2 linked regions of the Ovis aries genome follow. The protein of the gene in region 2 purifies or fractionates together with the protein of the main gene of each other region. This does not show direct contact. Links are inferred from orthologs where the notes say so. Each region holds a gene or a part of one and is shown on either strand. Other genes may lie near its edges. The genes, in order: CTIF and SLBP.

Region 1 (4,399 bases), on a different chromosome or scaffold from region 2:
CTGATGGCTTGGCGCATACCAAGAAGACATGCCCTCTGCTTTCAAAGAAATCCCACTCCTCCTTCAAGGCCCACTGCAAGCCCTACCCCTGGTGAAAAGCCATCCCAGGCTCCTCTGCCCTCTAGACCCATCCTTCATCCCTGACCCCCCCTTTTGGAGTCTCCCTTTTGCACTGCCAAATTGCTAGGACTTTCAGAATTTGCTCTTTTATCTCTGTCTGGAGCCTTTGTACCCTGTAGCCTTGTTCAGAGGCCAACTCTTTCTTTTGCCTTTGTTAACATTTTTTAGTAATTCTTACCTAACACGCTGCCTCCTCCAAGGAAGCCTTCCTTGATCCTCTCCTTCTTGCATCCGTGCTCCATCCTGGCTGGCTGCTCCTCCTGAGGGTTCCACAGCACGTTATGCCTACACCTATGTTAGGTGTGGACTTATCCCCTATACCCTCATTGACTGCAGTCCTTAATGCTAGACTTTGAATTCCTTGAGGGTCTCACCAGTCTTGGCATCCCCAGACCTGTTCTGTCTGTGAAAAGTGCTCACTAAATGTTATATGAATTTATAAACAATTTTTTTCAGCAGCTATACCATGTCCCACAAGTCCTTCCATGAGTTTATAACCCCTTTCCATGAGTTTATAACCCCTTTCCATGAGTTTAAGGGAGTTCATAACTCCTTTGCTTGGAAGGTGTACAGCATCATGTATTTCTCCAGAAGGCTTCTCTGTGCTAAGCCCAGTGCCCAGCACCTAACAGGTACTTGGAAAACACTGGTGATTCGGTAAAGTGATTACTGAATTACCCTCTGCGCTGAATTCTCCTGTCCACCAAGTCCCCTGCCTTAGCCCTTAGCATGGCCAATGGAAAATTAATTGGTTGCAAAGTGCATATCTAATTACAACATCCCGCCCCTGCCACTGAGATGTTCAAATGTTAATTATAACATATGCATCTCAGTAACAGACGGTAGCATTTAATAGAGCATTAGTAACTGCCCTTGGGCCGCCCAGGGAGTACACAACGCTCCCTTTCATCTGCTCTTAGGACAGACTTAGCACTTAAGAGCAAGGAAGTCCTCATCCTTAAAGCCGTCCGGTCCCTAAAATCAAATGTTTCCCTCCTCGCCCAAGTCCCCAGTTGAGGTCCCCACGCGGGGCGGCGCCAGCGCGCGGGGCGTGGGGTGGGGATCGGCCGTCGGGCGTGGGGTTTCGGCGAGGCTCGATCTGCTATCTGGGCGGCTCGGGCGGCCTGCCCCCGCGCCACGGCGGCGCCCCGCTTCTCCAGGGCCCGCCATCCCGGGAAAGAAAGGCGAACTACATTACCCAGCAGGCCTCCCGCCGTCCTCGTTCCTTTCATGTCTTTGCACGTGGCCGGAGGGGAGGGCGGAGCCTGGACGACACCCTCCCACATTCTCTTTCCCTGTGTCAGAGCAGGGATCATTTTTTTTTTTTTCCTTCCTCTGCTCCCTCCCCCCGCCCGCCCCTCTTTCCCTCCTTCCCTTCCCTCCCTCCCTCCCCTCTCGGCTGGGTTTGTGCGCTGGGGCGCCGGAGGCCCCCCCCTTAGCCGCCGGGACGCGCGGAACTCGGGGCGGGGGATCGGCTCTCCCGAGCCTCCTCCCTCCCTTCTCCTTCCCTGCCCCCTTCCCCCCCCCCCCACCCCACCCCCAACTCGGGCTCGGAGCGGCGGCCTGAGGAACCCCGAGGTGAGCATCTCCCCCACCGTCCGCCGCCTCCCCCCCCAACCCCCCCGTCTCCTGTAGTCATCTCTCGTTGCGGGTCGATTCCGGGACCGGTGAGGAAGGGCTCTGTGACGTGTGCGTGCTTACAGATAAATCCGGGAAAACCGCCCCAAACAATTAGCCCCCTACCTCCCTACCTCCTCCTCCCACCCTGCGCCCCGGGCAGCCAGGCGTCCGCGCCCATCCTGCGTCCCCGCCTCTGTCGGGGACGGCACTGTGAGATCGCGCCCCCTCCCCAGGTTTGCCCCTTCTCAGCCGGTTCCCCGCCAGTAGGGGAGCCGTGGCCCTGGAGCTCCGGTGAGGAGGGGGGCTCTGTTGGCGTGGGGTGAGGAGGGGGTGCACGGTTGGAGCCGCGCGGTGTAGCCGCTGTCATGTGCCGGATTCCGACCCGGAGGGAGGAAGCAAGCGAGCGAGCGTGATTCCTCTCCCTTTTGTTGTGAAGCCCGCATTTGCTGCATTGGTTCACGAACCGGCCAAACTTGCAGCTGTTCTGACCGTAGTCGGCGGAGGTAGGGAGCGCGGCTCCGGGTGGCGGCTAAGGGCCGGAGGCTGCCGCGCTCGCGGCTCCCGGAGGGACCCTGGGAGTGTCTTCACGCTGCCCCTCCGTCCTCCTGCGACCGATTGTGTCTGTGGCAGCGGCCGCGTGTGAGTGTGTGTGTGTTTGTGTGTGCGCGCCCGTCCCCGCGGGCGCGGAGATGTCTGTCGTCTAGACAGGCTGCACCCTCCCTCCGTCCCTGGTGAGCCCGCGGACCGCGCGCGGGGGGCGCGGGGCGGGGATGGGAGCAGAGGAGAAAGCCGGATCGCTGGCTCCACTGCGGTCGCAGCTTTGGACCTTCCCCACGGCAGTGATTCTCCTTTCTTTTTTTACGTTCTTATTCCTGCCGCCGCGGTGTAATCGGGCCTGGGGAACAGACCTGTCCGGTGGAGTCAGGGTTAAGTTGACAGGCTTTGAAAAGCCAGCTCGCGGTGGCTGGTGACCCGGGCCGGAGCGGAGTGGGCTCCGGCTCGGGTTCTTTAACGAGCAGGTGACTGTCTCAGACGCGGGTCCTGGTGGGGTGTGTGTGGGGGCGGGGAGGGAGGTGGTGGGCGGCGGGCAGGGGGGCGGTGGCTCGGCTGCAGCGGAGATCTGGTGCCCCGGAGGGCCGCGTGTCGGAGCCAGGGTACCGCTGGGGGAGGCGTCCCGGGGACCGCGCATCTGAGTTGGGTCTCTCCTCTGATGTTAAATGACAGTTGTGGAGGGGAGGTGGTGGAGGTCTGAGCCCCTCTGGGCTGCGTTGGCTGTTTGGCTTCGCGGAGTTTTCAGGGTTGGTGTTGCGGGGGGGGGGCAGGTGTGAACAGAGAGGGAGGTGCGGCGTGTAAAGGGGAGGGGTGGTTGGCGGCACGCTGTGCATCCCCACTCAAGGAGTGAGGCGTCGCCTCCCCCGCCCAGCTGTTTGTGTGTGTACACACCGTTCTGGCGTGCGTGCGCGGGGCGGGGACCGCAGACCGATGCGTAGTGGGGACGCGCTTGGGCCCCGAGCCCCCGCGGGGATCGGTCCCGCCGGGGCTCGTAGTCGTGTGTGTGTCCGCGCCAGCGCCCTGGTTCCTTGGAGAGGGGGGTTCGTGCGGCCGAGGGCTCGGGGAGATCCTGGGGTTGCTTGTGAGCCGGGTCGGTGAGAGAGGGCCTGGCCAGAGACGTGCCGCGGTCCCTCTCCTCGCGTCCCCGACGCCTCCCCCCGACCCGGACCCGGCAGGCTGGCCGTCTACTCGGCGGCGCCGCGGGCTGGTCTGGCTGGGCCTGGAGGAGCGGCGGGGCGCTTGTGCGTTGCGCCCCCGCCCCCTTCGCTTGACCCTTGGCCCGGGGCGCGCTGTGGGTGCGCGCGGCCGCTCCGGCCGCTGCCTTCGCAGATCCTGGAGGGAATCGGCGCCCCTGCGTACCCCCTCCCAATTCTTCGTCCTAGAGACAGTGGAGGCCGAAGGCTGCCCGGCCCGCCGGGTCGCGCTCTCCGCCCCGAGCTGCCTCCGGCGCGGGTGCCGGGTGCCGGGTACCCAGCCGGCCGCAGGCAGGTCTTTGCCCTCCCGGAGCTGGGTCTCTGCGACAGGGGATTATCTCCCAGGCTCAGGGCCCGCGCGCAGAGGGAGGAAGCCACCGGAGCTGCTGGTTTCGCAGCGGCTGGGGGCTTCCGAAGGCGAAAGTGACACAGCACGAGCGCCGCTACCGCCCGAGCTGAAAGCGAGAGGAAGGAGCCGCCCAGAGGGCGGGGAGGGGCCGCAGGCTGTCCGGCCCTGTTCCTCCTGTCCAGCGACGGGTCTGGGCCGAAAACCTCAGGGAACCTGGCTCCGAGCATTCTGGGAACGCGCGAGAAAAATTGCTTGGCTTTCAAGAAAACCCGGTTATACTGGAACAGAACGCACTGAGCAGACGTTAAGATGTCCGGCCCCTCGCGGGATGCACTCAGGTGGCCCCAGGAAGCTCCCTTAACGTGTTTAAGACAGGATTCAATTTACACACAGATCATCTCACCTGCTGTGTCACGTGTCTGTCTTGGATAACGTGCGCTTGAAAGCAGTAATTTTGTAACGCATCCGGGGGTACAATGTCACCAGTGATTAACAGATTGCTGTAATAATAATAATATATGTTTGTATGTCTAGGCGCCCTCCCCATCATCGCATTTATTAAGAC
Region 2 (3,798 bases):
TTGTTCCTCTCTGGATCACACCCTTTCTGATGGAAAGCTGCTGCCTCTGAGCAGACCAGGTGATGGAGCTTTTGATGGTGGTGGTCTGCCTTCCTTCCCACCAGGAGGTGAGGGGTGAGCCGTGAGCTCGCTGTGTATCAAGGCAGTTGGCTCACACTACACACCAGCAGCCTGAAAATTGGAAAATGGGCTTTAGTTACACCTGAGGGTGAAAGTGAAGTCGCTCAGTCGTGTCTGACTCTTTGCAACCCCATGGGCTGTAGCCCACCAGGCTCCTCTGTCTGTGGGATTTTCCAGCAAGAATACTGGAGTGGGTTGCCATTTTCTCAAGAGGATCTTCCCCACCCAGGGATTGAACTCCAGTTTCTGACATTGCAGGCAGACTCTACCCTCTGAGCCCCCAGGGAATCCCTTAGTCATACCTGAAAGGGTTCCAGAAAGAATGAGATCCTGCAGAAAGTGACCTCAGGGACTAGCGTTTCAGTTCTCGTGTGATGGCTCCAGACACACACTGTCCAGACTTCCCTGGGACTTCCCCGCAGACTGGGACCGGGTGAGGCACCTCAGTGTGTGGCCTCTTTTGGACCCTACTGTGAACCTCTAGCTAGAGGCAGTTTCCAGGTCAGATTGTTCTGTGTTTTTTGGTTGGTGATGAGGCACCGCAGTGTGTGGCCTCTTTTGGGCCCTATCGTGAACCTCTACCTAGAGGCAGTTTCCAGGTCAGATTGTTCTGTGTTTTTTTGGTTGGTGACATAACCTTTGCAAAGTTCGGTGTTGGTTGTTGCTGTGCTAGAAAGCAAATTCCCGGTGCATCCATAAGGAAGGAGGTTGGGGGTGGGAAGGTGTGCAGCTTTCCCAAGGTGAGCGGTGCCCAACAGGCATGTGTCTTGTTAATGAGTGATTGTGGTATTAGAAGTAAAGACTTCATTTCAGCTCACATTAGTTTTTCCTGAAGGTTTCAGGGTTAGAGAGATGTAAATTTCCATGGTCTCACCACTTAGCGGGCAGCTTGAGTTTTCTTTCAGAACTGGTTGCTTTAAGTATCCTGTATGGTCTTGGCAAGTAGCCTTATCTTCTCACCAGAGAATGGTGATTGAAGGAGGTTGAAAATAAAAGAAGCCGCCTTACTGTGACTGTTGCTTAACCCACTTACCAGACCACACCCTCAGAGAGGCTTTGTAGCTCTAGAAGCGTTGAGTTGATTTCTGTACCTTTGTAAAAACAGCAACGTTTATTTACTTTGCTCTCAGATATAAAAGGAAACTCCTCATCAATGACTTTGGAAGAGAGAGAAAGTCATCATCAGGAAGGTAAATGCTATGTAATCGTTTCTTTTCTAATTAATAACCCTGTGACTTACTCATGAAAAATAAGGCGGACATGTGAGCGTGAAATGCTGGCTCTCGGTAGTGTTTCCTATTTTTTCTGTTCTTCACTGATTTGAAATACGTATCCTGTACTAAATCTCTGTATATTCAGATTCTAGACTGTTCTGGAGTTAATACAGTTTGGAAATCCAGCGGGCAAGTGCTCTGTTATTGTGTTTACGCATTTTCTTATGTCATGATCTTGTTTGTGAGGTTTGCTGTGTTAATTTCATTTTATTTAGTTCGGATTCGAAGGAGTCTGTGTCTGCGTTGCCGGCCGACTTGGAGACGGATGAAAGTGTCCTGATGCGGAGGCAGAAGCAGATCAACTATGGGAAGAACACCATCGCCTATGACCGCTACATCAAAGAAGTCCCCAGGTAGGCCCGCGCCGCCAGCGTGGGCTGGCCAGGCCACGGGCGTGGGTGCTGAATCTGATTCTGGGTGTAGTTCGCCTGCTAAGAGCTCTCTTATCAGTGATCTTCAGGCACTTACATAAAGAGGAACATGTTGGTGCCTGCGAAACCAAGGACACGAAGACAAGTGACATTTTCATAGTTTAGAGTGTTGGGTGACGTTGTCAGGAGTAGCTGTCTTGTAAATGTGGGACTGTTAACGTACATGATGGCGAAGGTTCAGTTCAGGTTGCAGATTGTAAAGCTTTCGCTAGAGAAGAGCACGAGCCTTAGCCAGTCTGCGTCAGCAGCATGCGTCCTGCCTCCCACACAGGGATGCAGTGGGAGCTTTACGGGGCGCGGGAGCTGCCGGCCTGAATGCAGGTGTCCTTTGCTGGAGCGTGGATTGCAGGGAAGAGCAATCGGCGAGGTAGCGCTGTTTAGCTCCTGTTCACATGTGGGCCTGCCTGTGCACCAGCATCACCCCTCTGTCCCTGTAGGCACCTTCGACAGCCCGGCGTTCATCCCAAAACCCCCAACAAATTCAAGAAGTACAGTCGGCGGTCGTGGGACCAGCAGATCAGACTCTGGAAGGTGGCTCTGCATTTTTGGGATCCCCCAGCTGAAGAAGGATGTGATTTGCAAGAAATGTACGTCTCTTTGGAGTCTTGTCCCCCCTGTCTGCCGTGATGGCAGCGGCTCTTGCTGTGTGGCAGGTCACCCTGTATCCTGTCTGTCTTGTCTCTGCTAGTGTCTGAAGCTGGCGGTGTGGGCTCCAGGAGGGGCTGGAGGGAGGGATGCGCTTCCTGGGTTGGACTTACTGTTTGTAGCTACACCAAACTGACCTTAGTAGAGGTACATGGGGTTTTCTTTGTTTTCTAAGATAAAATGTTTTGGAAAGCTTGAATAGTTAGGTTGAGCTAGGCAGCTCAGGGGTACGGAATCTGCAAGAGACTTGCACATTGGTCCCTGGGTCGGGAAGATCCCCTGGAGAAGGAGGTGGCAGCCCACTCCAGTATTGCCTGGGAAATCCCATGGACAGAGGAGCTTGGCGGGCTATAGTCCATGGGGCCACAAAGAGCTGAACGTGACTCGGGGGCTAAATAGTAGTGAGCAGGCGCACTGTGTAGTCAGTTCACTCCGCTGGGCGGTAGAGACTGGCACAAGCTCGCGAAGCAGCTACACTCAGTGGCGGCTGGGGCTCCCCAGTTGGCTCAGTGGTGAAGAGTGCCTGCCGGTGCAGGAGACACAGGTCCAGTCCCCGGGTCGGGAGGATCCCTGGAGGAGGGAGAACTCCAGTATTCTTGCCTGGAGGCCCCGTGGATGGAGGATCCCAGAGTTCAGTCCACAGGGTTGCAGAGGGTCAGATCCGGCTCAGTGGCTGAACAGCAAACGTGAGAGGCTTTCCCTTTTTTTTTTTTTTTGCCTACGGAAGGTTTTTCTTTCTAACCTCTGTCCAGTGGAGAAGGCCTCGGGTTGAGCTTCTGCCGTGTGGTGTGGATGCCGGCTTGGCGGGGAGACGGAGGCTGGCCTGTGGTTCTCTCCTCAGCTCCCTTGTCTGAACTTCTCCCTCCCTCAGAGACCCAGTTAGTCGTCCAAGTGTCTGAGTTTCTGCTCTGAGCTGGGGACATTTATTAGAAGCTGTCAGGTCTGAGGCGAGGTCTGAGGCACGTCTTTGTGAAGTTGGCCTCGCTTCACAGGCATGCCTGGTTTCTTTCCAGTTGCCATTGTTGCCCCATTCTCTCTGTGAGCAGGAGATTGGAAACATGAGTGGTGGTGTGTAGTTTGGTTTGTCAGCGTGTGTCCCCCCAAACTGGGCTTTACTGTCGCCGCTTCTGCTTAGAGGGATGCTTGTGGGCGCGTACAGACAGCTGGCCACGCACAGGAGTGGGCAGCTTGTTGCGTGCTCTGAGCACGGTGGGCATTGTGCCCATGGTGGGCATTGTGCCCGTGGTGGCCGCTGCCAGCCTTCCTCGGGGAGGATTCGGGGGGGGGGGCATCCTCTCCTCAGGGCGGAGGAGGTGCTGGGAGCGCGC

Evidence for each region.
Region 1: the proteins of SLBP (region 2) and CTIF purify together in Homo sapiens (affinity purification with western blotting; 3 studies listed by BioGRID). This does not show direct contact. The link is inferred for Ovis aries from reciprocal best matches to the Homo sapiens genes SLBP and CTIF.

Annotation. Positions count from the first base shown.
Region 1 is NC_056076.1:48,545,498-48,549,896, forward strand, and holds the start of CTIF (CBP80/20-dependent translation initiation factor), read left to right. Parts: upstream 1-1,402; 5' UTR 1,403-1,698; exon of another isoform or gene 1,699-2,759; intron 2,760-4,399. UniProt on the Homo sapiens protein: Specifically required for the pioneer round of mRNA translation mediated by the cap-binding complex (CBC), that takes place during or right after mRNA export via the nuclear pore complex (NPC).
Region 2 is NC_056059.1:117,534,317-117,538,114, forward strand, and holds part of SLBP (histone RNA hairpin-binding protein), read left to right. Parts: intron 1-1,250; coding exon 1,251-1,310; intron 1,311-1,609; coding exon 1,610-1,747; intron 1,748-2,262; coding exon 2,263-2,412; intron 2,413-3,798. UniProt on the Homo sapiens protein: RNA-binding protein involved in the histone pre-mRNA processing.